3 linked regions of the Canis lupus familiaris genome follow. The protein of the gene in region 1 interacts with the protein of each later gene in a pairwise test. Links are inferred from orthologs where the notes say so. Each region holds a gene or a part of one and is shown on either strand. Other genes may lie near its edges.

Evidence for each region.
Region 2: the proteins of VASP (region 1) and TRIM9 interact in binary tests that used the Homo sapiens proteins (3 or more experiments, as listed by UniProt). The two-hybrid records come from large-scale screens. The link is inferred for Canis lupus familiaris from reciprocal best matches to the Homo sapiens genes VASP and TRIM9.
Region 3: the proteins of VASP (region 1) and ABI2 interact in binary tests that used the Homo sapiens proteins (3 or more experiments, as listed by UniProt). The link is inferred for Canis lupus familiaris from reciprocal best matches to the Homo sapiens genes VASP and ABI2.

Annotation. Positions count from the first base shown.
Region 1 is NC_049222.1:110,772,249-110,775,994, forward strand, and holds the start of VASP (vasodilator-stimulated phosphoprotein), read right to left. Parts: upstream 2,499-3,746; 5' UTR 2,454-2,498; coding exon 2,449-2,453; intron 1-2,448. UniProt on the Homo sapiens protein: Ena/VASP proteins are actin-associated proteins involved in a range of processes dependent on cytoskeleton remodeling and cell polarity such as axon guidance, lamellipodial and filopodial dynamics, platelet activation and cell migration.
Region 2 is NC_049229.1:27,693,737-27,697,482, forward strand, and holds the start of TRIM9 (E3 ubiquitin-protein ligase TRIM9), read right to left. Parts: upstream 2,651-3,746; 5' UTR 2,465-2,650; coding exon 1,643-2,464; intron 1-1,642. UniProt on the Homo sapiens protein: E3 ubiquitin-protein ligase which ubiquitinates itself in cooperation with an E2 enzyme UBE2D2/UBC4 and serves as a targeting signal for proteasomal degradation.
Region 3 is NC_049258.1:12,103,395-12,107,040, reverse strand, and holds part of ABI2 (abl interactor 2), read right to left. Parts: intron 3,480-3,646; coding exon 3,333-3,479; intron 2,566-3,332; coding exon 2,441-2,565; intron 1,413-2,440; coding exon 1,230-1,412; intron 1-1,229. UniProt on the Homo sapiens protein: Regulator of actin cytoskeleton dynamics underlying cell motility and adhesion. Functions as a component of the WAVE complex, which activates actin nucleating machinery Arp2/3 to drive lamellipodia formation.

The sequences.
Region 1 (3,746 bases):
TGCCTACTTCCAAACTGACTTGAATAGGTTATTTGCTTAATTTTTCTGTGTCTCAGTTGACCCATGGAGGTGGGGCAGTCAGAATAATACAGTGCCTGGCACAGAGCACATGTTTGATCAGATGGTCTCTTATTATTATTTAAAAAACAACAACTTTGTAAGGTAATAATAATTACCATTCCTGGAAGAGGAAAGAAATGGACCTAAATACCGCTTGCAGCCCTCTGCCCTGAGATTCTCAGACCTCTGCCCCCTCTCTGAGCCTTCCCAGAATCCCAGCTGAGTCTCGCACACAGCAGACACTTAACAAATATTTGTCAAACTGGGAGAAAAAGAACTATATCTTGTAACTTTCCATTTTAACATCCTCTCTTCGCCCAGCCAAAGCAGACAGAAGTCAAGTCGCAGGATCCCAGTCCCCTCCCCTCCCTCAACACTGCCTGAGGGATCTAGGGCGAGCCTCAGTTTCCCTGGCTGCCCTCATGCAGGGGCAGGGGTCTTTTGGAATCCTAGAGGTCCTGGAAGAGGGGGCGCAGCGAGTTGGGCGTGGCCATCAGCAGGGAAGACCCCCTGGGGAGGTGCGAGTGACCCTCCGGTGGGAGGCCCAGCAGTTCAACCCCTGCCCACCGCCCCCCCACCCCCCAGGAGGTGGGAGCTTTGGCCGCGGCCAACAGTAGGGGGACCCTGTGGGAGGGCGAAGGCCTCCGGGCCTGGGGGAGGGGGGGCGGGAGGCCGGCCCAGACACTGCTCCTGCCCTTTTACGGTCTCACAGTGAGTGAGGCAGCACTAACTCGGACATCCGCCATCCGCCTTCCACGGTGCCTGGGACCGGAAACGCGAGGGGGGGCGGGGGGCGGGGCGGGGGGGCAGCCGTGGGAGAGGAGGGTCCCCTGGGAAGAGGGTGAGGGAAGAGAGCCTGGCTCCCCCCAAAATGCCCCCTCTCCGGGGCAGGCCTCGGAGGGATGTGGCTATAATGGGGGGTAGGTAGGCGGGAGACCTCGAGGGTGGGTGTCCGTGGGTGCCCCCTCACTCCAAAATGCTCCAACACTTTCACATCAGAAGGAACACAGGCGGAGGGGGTCTCTAATGGTCCTAAAGGGCAATGCGACTCTTGATGTCAGAGGGCAGGGGCGTGTGGGGGTAGTGGGAGGATGTGGGCACCAGGGGGTTAATCCCCAGTCCTCCTCGGGGGGCCTCCCCCTCAAGCTGGGGGCTTTGGGGGCAGGAAGTCCCTGAGAGAGTGGAGGAAGGGAGATAGTATTGTCAGGCTCGGGCCCCAAGGGAGAGATTATGGGGGGCCAGGGGGAGGGGAGAGTGGGGGAGGGTCTACTCCGGTCTCCCAGCCCGCCCCGGCCCCGCCCTCAGGTGAGCCCAGGAGTTCTGAGGTCCGACCCGGTAAGACAAAAATCCCTGGGTCCTCTGGGCCCCCCAACCCCAGGATTAAATTCCTGGGAAGGTGTCTGGGACTGTCTTGGGAGCCTGGGTCCCAGGGGGAGAGGGCTATGACCTTGAAGCTTTTTACAGCGCCCCCCCCCCCACCCCACGGCTCTGGAGGGCCGGGTAGGGGGGCGGTGGTGAGAGCAAGGGGCGGCGCGTGGTGGGGAAAGCAGCCGGCCCACTGCACTCCTTGCCCGCCCCCCCAACACCAGCTGTCTCGACAGGTGAGTCAGGAAGACAAAGGCCCCTCTTCCCGCAGCTGCCGCGCCCCCTCCCTCCCCAGGACGCACAGGTGGGGGCGCGGGGCCGCCCTCCTGGCCCCGGGCCGGGGAGCCGCCCTCCGCGCCGAGCCCTGGAGCTCCGTCCTAGGCACCGCTTGTTTTAAACAGAAGGTGGGTGGGGAGCGGCGGGGGAGGGGAGTCCCAACCAGACCCTCGAGGCTGTCCGGGTCCGTGGGTTCGTCTGCACTCACCTCCACCGGAGGACGAGAGCCCCCCGAAATTTAAGGGGTTAAGTGCCCCCGAAGTTAAGAAGCGAGGTCCCACTTGGGAAGGCTTTTTCCAGCGCCACGTAAAAGCAGACCCGGCAAACCAAGGTCTACGTCCCGAATCTCTCTTCCAGGTCCCAGGAACCCCCAACCCGGTCCCCTCAATCCCTCCCGGAGCCCGAGTTGAGATTTTTGGGGGGGTAGTCTGAGCCCTGCCTTAATTCTGGCCTCCATGCTGGCAGGATCTGGCAACTTGGAGGTTCTCTGAAAAAGTCTTTAAGAAATTCGGGAGTCCTCGGGGCGCCCCCAAATCTGAGGGCTTCCGAGAGAACCTCTGAGGCACCACCCGAGCCTTAGGAGTCATGGCGAAGCGGTCAGTATTTGGAACTCGTCCAAGGGGGCTCGGCCTCAAATCCGAGGCCCCCAGTGCCCTGTCCCCAAATTCCAGCTGGGGGAGGGGGACAAAGGCGGGGCGGGGAGCCCGCGCGGAGCGCGGAAGGGTTTGGAGGCAGTTCGAGGCTCACCTCATGGCTGCTCAGCGGGAGGGCGGCGCACCCACGGGTGGGTGCTCCCGGGGCGCCCCTGGCTCAAGGTTCAGGGGTTCGGGGCTGGCTCCAGGTTCTGCTCAGTCTCCCCCAGGGTCCCGCCCCATAGAGTCCGGCTTCCTGGGGGGGAACGTGGACGGGGCCGGGGCGGGTCCTCAGGCGCCTCCTCCCTCTGGAGGTTTGATCGGGGGTCCCTGCGGCAGAAAGGGGGTGCGGCGTCCCGTCCCCGGCGCGCCCCCTCGGCCGGCGGCGGGTACAATGTTACTCTTACTACTGTACTTCTCTTCGCTACATTTCGTTCCAAAATTCCACTCCCCGCACCCACAATGCCCTGCGCCTTAAAGGGGCCGCGGACACCTCTAGGCGGTGGGGGGGGTGAAGGGCGCTTAAAAGGGCAACGCGGAACCCTACACTTCCGCTATTTACCTCTTCCCCAACGTTAGAGAAATGGGGATGCACGCTGAGGGTCACCCCCAAATTAGGGGGTAGGTCTGGTGGAGGGCAAGGGATCCTTCCTGATCGCTCATTCGCTCCTACGATGGAAATTCTTAGGAGGATCTTAATGGGGACAATTCCTGCTCACCCTCCCCAACGACTTCTCCATTTCTTCACGTTCTGCTCAATTTGGGGGGTGGGCGCGAAGACGATCCTCTGGTTAAGCATAGATTCTCTCAAATTTTCCCCCTTAAATGATACCTTAAATGCTACCCCCAGCGTCTCTCTTCTCTGCTAATATATGAAAGGTGACTAAGGGATGAACCCCTTTCCCCAGCACAGGGGGGGGTGGGCGGGGAGGGCCCCATCCCTCTCGCCGCCCCCCGCCCGCCCCAGGAAGGTGAGGAGGAAGTGGGCCGAGGGGGCGCGGCCGGCCGCTGACTCACTGCCTGGGGGTGGGGGTGGGGGTGGGGGCGGGGGCAGGGGTGAGGGTGCGGCGCTGCCCCTGGGTGCGGATGGGACTCCAGGTTCCTGTGTGGTTAAAACCCCTGGAACCTCTCCCCACGCACCCCCGCCGTGACTCAGTTTCGCCCGCAGAGGATGGCGGGATCATCCAGCAATAGGAGGGCGCGGAGGCAGGGGCACCCACCCACCTGGTGCTGGCTCCTAGGAACCCCCTCCCCCACGCAGTAGCTTGGGTCTGAGGCCCAAACACCCTCCCAAGCTTCCGCAGCGGGTCCCGCAGGCCCCGCCCCATGTGACTCCACTGGTGGCCACTCCCCTCCCGCAGAGCGCCACCTGGCCCGGGTCAGGTACCCTGGGGCTGGATGCCTGGGAAATCA
Region 2 (3,746 bases), on another chromosome or scaffold:
GGTGATATCTTACTTCTTTTCTTGCTGTAAATAAAATATCAATGTTTTAGCCTTAACCCCATGGTCTCTCTCAAAGGCTAGCCCTTCTAGTCTCCAAGAAATGCTAGGAAACCCTGAGTGGGACATAGTTGAGGCCTGGACACCATCTTTACTCCCCTGCCTGATCCTTGGGCTTGCAGCTCAATGATATGAAAATCTCCCTACAATAATCCCGAACTCCTGCCCTACCCTTTGCATCCCAACCAAGCAAATTATTTAAAAATTAAAAGTGAAATTTATACACATCTCCTTCTTTCTAAGCAGGGTGGCTTAACATTATTATAAACATCTTTTTCCTCACAAAGCTTACTTTCTCGTGTGTGCAGAAGGAAGCAATAGATAAATACGAAAGTAACAGTGAAAATATATAGCATGCCAGCTAGCAGTGTCTGAGGCTAGTGGCAGCAACTGTATTTAGAAGGGTTTCACTGCAAAGGTAACATCTGAGCAACAATCTGAAGGAAGCAAGAGAGTGAGCCGTTGGAAGATAGGGTTTTGGGTAAGACTGTCCCAGGCTGAAGGAACATCAAACGCAAAGGTCCGGGGCCCGAAGCTGTCTGATGTTCTTTGAGGGACAGTGTAGCTGGGGAGGAAATGAGGTCCATGAGGCCAAATGTGAACAGGTCAAGCAGGTCCTGGTGGACCATTCTAGGGACTCTCTAAGAAATGTGGGGGACGATTGGAGGGTTTTGAGCAGAGAAGTGGCATACCTAAACCTAAACGTTGTTAAAGGACCCTTCTTGAAGCTAGCTTTGGTGGGGGCACCGTCCAAAGAGACAAGAAAGGTAAGTCTGGTGGTAACAGGTGCCTCAAAGCTTGCAAAGACGACTACTGAAAGGGGGAAAGGGTTGACTCCTGGACAAAATGCCTGTGTGGTGGTTGGGAGGATGGGGTTACCCTGGGTTACGCATCTGCCTAGCTTTCAGGCCTAGACGCAGAGACCTCTGGTCCCGCTACTTCAGCCGCAGGTCCCTAGCTCCAGGGGCGGTCAGGACCCGCAGCTTTGTTGCCGTGGCGACCACAGGATTCGACCCCCACCCCGCCGCCCCCGCGCCACACCACTCCCGGGTCTCCTGGGGCAAAACACCCGGTCCTGCATCTGCTCCAGCGAGGACTCATCAGTATTCCACCCGCGGAGTTCTCCCCGCCCCCGCCGCGAATCCCAGAGCCCGCCAATCCCGCAGCTCCAGCCTTGGCTGTTCTGAGCCTCCCCACCGCCCCCACTTGGTCTCCGAGGACCGCAGCCGGATCTGCCCCGGAGCTCTCCTGGCAGCCCCCCCCGCGCGGCGCGCCTCTGCCCAGTTACGCAGCGCTTTCGGGCTCGTTGGCGGCGGCCGCAGGCTGCGCCTCCGCGGCAGAGAGGGCACCCGGGAGACCCGTTCTAAGGCGTCCCCGCAACAACTCTCCGGGGATATTCAACTCCCCTGCGCTCGGTTTCAGGTCCTCCTGCGCTTCTGCAGTGCACCAGACGGGGGAAGCAGATACAGGAGAACCTGCATTGCGCCCCCGCTGGGATGCACGGTGCGCAGAAAGGGGACCTTCTGCTGCAAAGCCGGAGGATCGGGGGCGCGGGGAGTCAGGGGTGGGTTTTCGTAGGACTCACCTTGTGCAGTTTCCACATGGCCCCCAGAGCTTTGACTTCGTGGCTGGAATGTTTGCCCTCCTCCAAGCACTGGTAACACACGGGCATCTTGCACTGCACGCAGTACATGCTGTGATTCTCCAGCTCGTGGTCTGTGCAGGTGGAGACCTTGCGCGGGCTCAGCCGCCGGCTCACGCGGCCCTGGGCCGGGGGCACCAGACGGTGTTTGGCTAGGGGCCCTCGGGGAGGGTGGCAGCGCAGGCGGCACGGATCACAGTAGAAGACATCGCACTGTTCGCACATGACAGTGGCCTCCTTGGGCGCCTTCTCGCAGAGCTGGCACTTGAGGGCTGCGGCTTTGCTCTGCTGGTAGCGGTCAATTACCCCTTCCAGGACGCGGTTCTTGGGGAAGCCGCGGAGCCCCCGGTCATCCAGTATGAGGCTGCGGTGGCACTGGGGGCAGGTGATACAGGAGTTGCGGGGCACCGGGGCCAAGGCCGGTGACAGGTGGGTGGCCGGTGGCGGCATAGCCGGGGGGAACACGCGGACGCCATTGGGGGACTTCTGGCACGGAGTAGTGGGGGCACTGGCGAAACCCCCGTAGGAGCCATAGCCGCTGTCCGCCTCGCTGTACAGGCTCATCTTGTCCAGGTCCAGATAGTCATAGTCGGAGACCCCGGAGCCCGAGGCCCTGCGGCTCTGGGGGGATTCAGACTCCGGGGTCTGCACCAGGATGTTGCGGGCGCACGCTTGACATAAATTGTGAGAGCAGGGCAAGATGATGGGCTCCCGATAGAAGGAGCCGCACACGGGGCATTTTAACTCTTCTTCCATCTCTTCCATGAGGACCGGGCTGGGAGCGAAGCAGCGGCGGCTGCAACGGTGCCTGAGCGGGCGAGGCGGCCGACCGGCCTGTCGTCTCCAGCACCTTGGCCAGCGGCGGCGGCGGCGGCGGCGGCGGCGGCGGCGGCGGCGGCGGCTGCGCCTTCCCGCGTCGATCAGGCGCCGATCCCCGCCAGGCGCTCTCCCCGCGAGCCGCTCTCTCTCTCTCAGCCGCGGACCCGCGACGCGGCGCGCCAGCCGCGGACCGCCCCCCTCTGGTCCCGCCCTGCCCCGTAAGCCGCGGCCCATTGGCTGGCGGCGAGAGGGCGAGGCTCTGATTGGCCGCGCGCCCCGTCCCTCTCCTCTCTTCCGCAGGCCACGGGGGCTTTGGTAGCCGACGCTAAGGAGGAGCGTCTCCGCTCCCGGCTGCAGGATCTCGGGAGGGGGCGGCGTGCGGAGGCGAGGGACCGGGAAGGAGGAATTAGGCGGGATGACTCATCCCTCGCCCCGCTTCCTTCCGACCTCCGGCGCCGTCTCCCAAGAGCAGGGGGCGTGAGAAAGCCCTCCCCGCAGCGAGCAGGCCCACGGAGGGGGCCGGGGCTGCTCGCCAACCGTCTGCGTTTGGCTTCCAGCCCTGGTCCCCGCGCCGACCTGTACCGCGGGCGAGGGCCGCGCGCCCGCCAGACCCCTCCTTCCCTTCCGCTGCCCGCAGCCTGCCTGGGCCCGAGCCTCCCCCGGGCCCGGGGTTTTGTACCGCCCGGCCCCGGCGCTCCCCATCCCGGGAGCCTGCAGCCCCGGGCGGAAAAGCCCCCAGGAAGGGCCTCTTTGCTCCTTTCACCCTCACTGCCTGAGGTCTAAGAGGGGAATTAAGAATACCGATTTCTTAGTGTTGCCATGAGATTGCAGCTAGGTGACCGATGTAAATAAAGGCTCAGTATGGTAGCTAAAAAAAAAATCTCTAACTCTTCATTTCCCGCTTAAAAATCAGGCTCGGCCCAGAGGCTTCTCCGGGCGTGGTGTGAACCTAACGGTGTGAACGTGCCTGTCTCCCCTCTTCACCCTCCCTGCCTCCCAAAGCGGTGCTGTCACGGGGCTCTCGCACCTGGCCGAGCTTTCGCAAGGTTTGAGGCAGGTCAGGCAGGGTTGCCTATTGCTCAGCGCCTACAGTTCAGTAACTAGCTGCAGACGAATCACTGTGTCACTGCGGAGTCTCAGTGTTTGAATCCAAACAGCATTATACAGTGTCACGTGGCCTGAGCATTTATCACAGCTTCAGAATGGTGGGTTCTTTCTGTTTCCTCCT
Region 3 (3,646 bases), on another chromosome or scaffold:
GATCAAAGAATAGCCCATGTTTACATTTACATGGAAAGCTTTTCTTAAAAAGCTATCACGGGGTGCCTGGGTGGCTCAGTCAGTTCAGGATCTGCCTTCAGCTCGAGTCATGATCCAGAGTCCTGACTCCGGCATCCAGTCCCATGTCAGGGCTCCCTGTTCAGCAAGAGAGTCTGCTTCTGCCTCTGCCTCTCATCCCACTCGTGCTCTCACTCTCTCATAAAGAAATAAAAACAAAAAAAATATTAAAGTGCTATTACAGACACTATCCCATAAAACACCATCCAAAATCCATTTTAGCTAAAAGTATCCTTTAACACATTTAAACATCTGGTTATAGCTGCAGAGCTAAATATGTAATCTATGAAATATTTGGCAAGCTAAGGTGATGTGTGTCCAAACATACACATTTTTGTTAATAGATAAAGAATTTGTTTACTAACCAGCATCACTATTAACTTTGCAAATACATTTTGTAGCAACTGAATCTTCTTCCCCCTCCCCATCAAAACGGATTTTAGGTTGCTATTTTAAAACACTGAAACACCAGTTAACCTTAAGTAACATTTAACTAAACATGAAATTCTTTAAAAGTCCATTATCTAGGGACGCCTGGGTGGCTCAGTGGTTGAGCACCTGCCTTCAGCTCAGGGCGTGATCCCAGTGTCCTGGGATCAAGTCCTGCATCAGGCTCCCCAAAGGGAGCCTATTTCTCCCTCTGCCTATGTATTTGCCTCTCTCTGTGTGTCTCTCATGAATAAATAAAATCTTTTTAAAAAGTCCATTGTCCATATGTTTTCAGTGCTGCTATAATAGAGACTTCTAAACTGTTTTATCAGATATTTCCTATAAAATATACCTTATAATTATTTCCATATTATTTCCATAGACTTTTCTCTGTTAAAGTCTTAATCTGTAACAATATTTCTAACAACAACGTCTCAAAACTGTAAGAAGATGGCTCCATATTAAATTCACAGAACTCCAATAAATGAAATTCAAGCATTAAAAAAATGTGTATTTGTGTTACTCTACTGGAAAAAAGCATGTGAACTTTACCCTGATTTCCTCAGGAAATTCTATTCTTGGTCACATGCCATTTTCTAGTTAGTCTGTTATTCTTCAGATTTTATACACACACACAGCACAAACAAAAGTCATAAAGCCAGAGTTCCAGATAAAAGAGCCAGATGACTGGATGTGCCTGCCAAAGAACAAGCCATACTCACCTGTAGGGGGAGTGGAAGAAACAACAGGGGGAGTTGGAGAAGTGAAGCCATCAGCAAGGGTCTGGGCCCCCCCAGCAGCAGCGTCTGGGGCAGTGGAGGAAGGGACAGTAGCAGGAACAAGAGGGGCAGGGGCAGATGCAGAAGTAGCAGGAAGGGGAGGAGTACCAGCAGAGCCAGCGGGGGCTGAGGGGAAAGAGGAGTAAGAGGCGGCATTAATGAGGCAGACCCATTAGGCAGGATTAGAAAAAGCATTAGAGAACCTAATGTTAAATATTCAGCGCTTAACACTAACCAAAGAAAAGAAGAGAATAGGGAAAAAAATGAAGCTTATATTAAAGGATAATTAGGTTTGCAGCAAATAATTCAAAATGCTCAGGGCAATGTACAGATTTTTTAATTCATTAAAAACAGCATTCCGTTTTACCTGAAAGCCACTACTCTAAGAAAAGTAACTTTTCTACTGTATTGTACCTTTTATATTATAATTTTTAGCATAGTATTTTGTAAACAGTATACAAAACTAAACATAATACATTAGGAAACAGTATTCCATTTTGAAACACAAAAATCAGAAAATAAACATATTCTAGACAAAAACATTAGGTAAAAAAAAATCAGAAAAATCTTTTTCATGATTTTAAAAATATTATTATAAAAAAATTATTATCTATTTGGTATAAGTAAATTAAATACAAAAAAGTCTATCCCTAGGTCTTTTGTGTCACACTTTTAAAACTAAAGTTCAACTTTGATGAATAAATAAATTAAATAAGCACATTTTTCTGTTTCAGAAAAAAAAAGGTAGCATTTCAGAGTATTAAGTTCCAAGAGTCCACTAAATTTAACTGCCAAAACTACTTTTAAATTTGTCCAGTCCTTTTTTTACCTATGTGATTCTCACACTGTGTCCAAATGCACGCAATGTCATAACGCTGGAGTTAAACATATAACTCATACCCAGGAGGTACCTGAAACCTCAAAGCACCAACTGAGCCACTGCACCAAAGACAAAGCCAAATAACAGAGGTATGTGAGCATAAATTCAGAAATCACTTGGTTAAAAATAACAAATGCATAAAGATTTCCCAACATTTATGGAGTCCTAAAGGAAAAAAAATCTTCATTATGAAGAAAGCCCATCATTATTAAATTGGAAATTGAATTCAAATTCAAAAAAGACAAGTAAAGATGAGGCACCATTCATGTTTTACCTGGAAAGACACTGGGAGGAGAGGGAGTAGGAACAGCAATGGGAACACCCACACTCCCACTTCCACTGTTCTCCCGACTGCTGCTCCGACTACTTGGGTGACTTCCTCCACTACTCCCACTGCTGCTAAAGAAATAAGAGCCACCAAAACATGAGTATTTATATAAGATACCACCAGCACTTCCCAAAATTTTCTGAAATGAATATAGCTAAACAAAGATTATTCAAAAGCCCTCCATTTCATGTATTAATTTCTGAGTAAAACAGGAAAAAAACATGAGTTCAAGAAATTCATTCTGACTACCTTTTAATAAGCATCTATTAAAGAAAGTGAAATTGAGAAAGAAGGAAAAATTCTGTAGAAATATAAGTGGTAAGTGACAGGACTCAACACACAAAAATAGTATTACTTTTACTGCCTGAAGAAACTTGTTTTATAATAAAAAACACAGTTTTCCTAAACAGGTTATTTGATTAATTTTATTTATGATATCTTGGTGTACCATTTCATATTAATGTTTTACCATGTATAGTTTTTCATCTGTAAAGTTCCACCAAAAAACAACTTGCAATTTCCCACATCTAATCCATAACTTTTTTCCCCACATCTGGTCCATAACTTTCTTTCAGGTCAACTACAACTATTAATTTTTTAGAGAAGTTTGTATTTTTAAGATGTCTGTTTTTTCTGGGTTTATTATTTTTTTTCCAACTTCCTGACCTCAAAGCTGCATCAGAACATGAGGAGAGAGAGGCAGAATCAGATGAGGTTTGGGAGAGTAGAGTGAGGAAAAGAACTTAGTGCTTGGAAAATGAGAGAGATTTAACTGAAGTAATCTGAACAAATTATGGTACTATGACCATCACATTTTGCACTGAGGTAGAGAAAATACCTGTAAGTTCGATTTCTTTGATTCACAGAAGCTGTCCTCACAGGGCTCTGCTGCGAGGGAGCCATATTACGGGTTGGGCTAGGTACGTAATCATTTGGTACCACTGGAGGACGCACTGGCTCCAGTGTGCGATAGGGGGAGTGCCGCCTACAAAAAGAAGAGCGTATGTATTGTGTGATTAGCAAATTTCGGCACAATAAATTCAAAGAGTTGCCAGTAGTGAAATACAATTTGTATTCAGAGATAGGAAAATGTTTTAACATAACCCAGCTACCAATTTCAGTTTTTCCTTAAGTATCGCTTCTCTGCTGTTA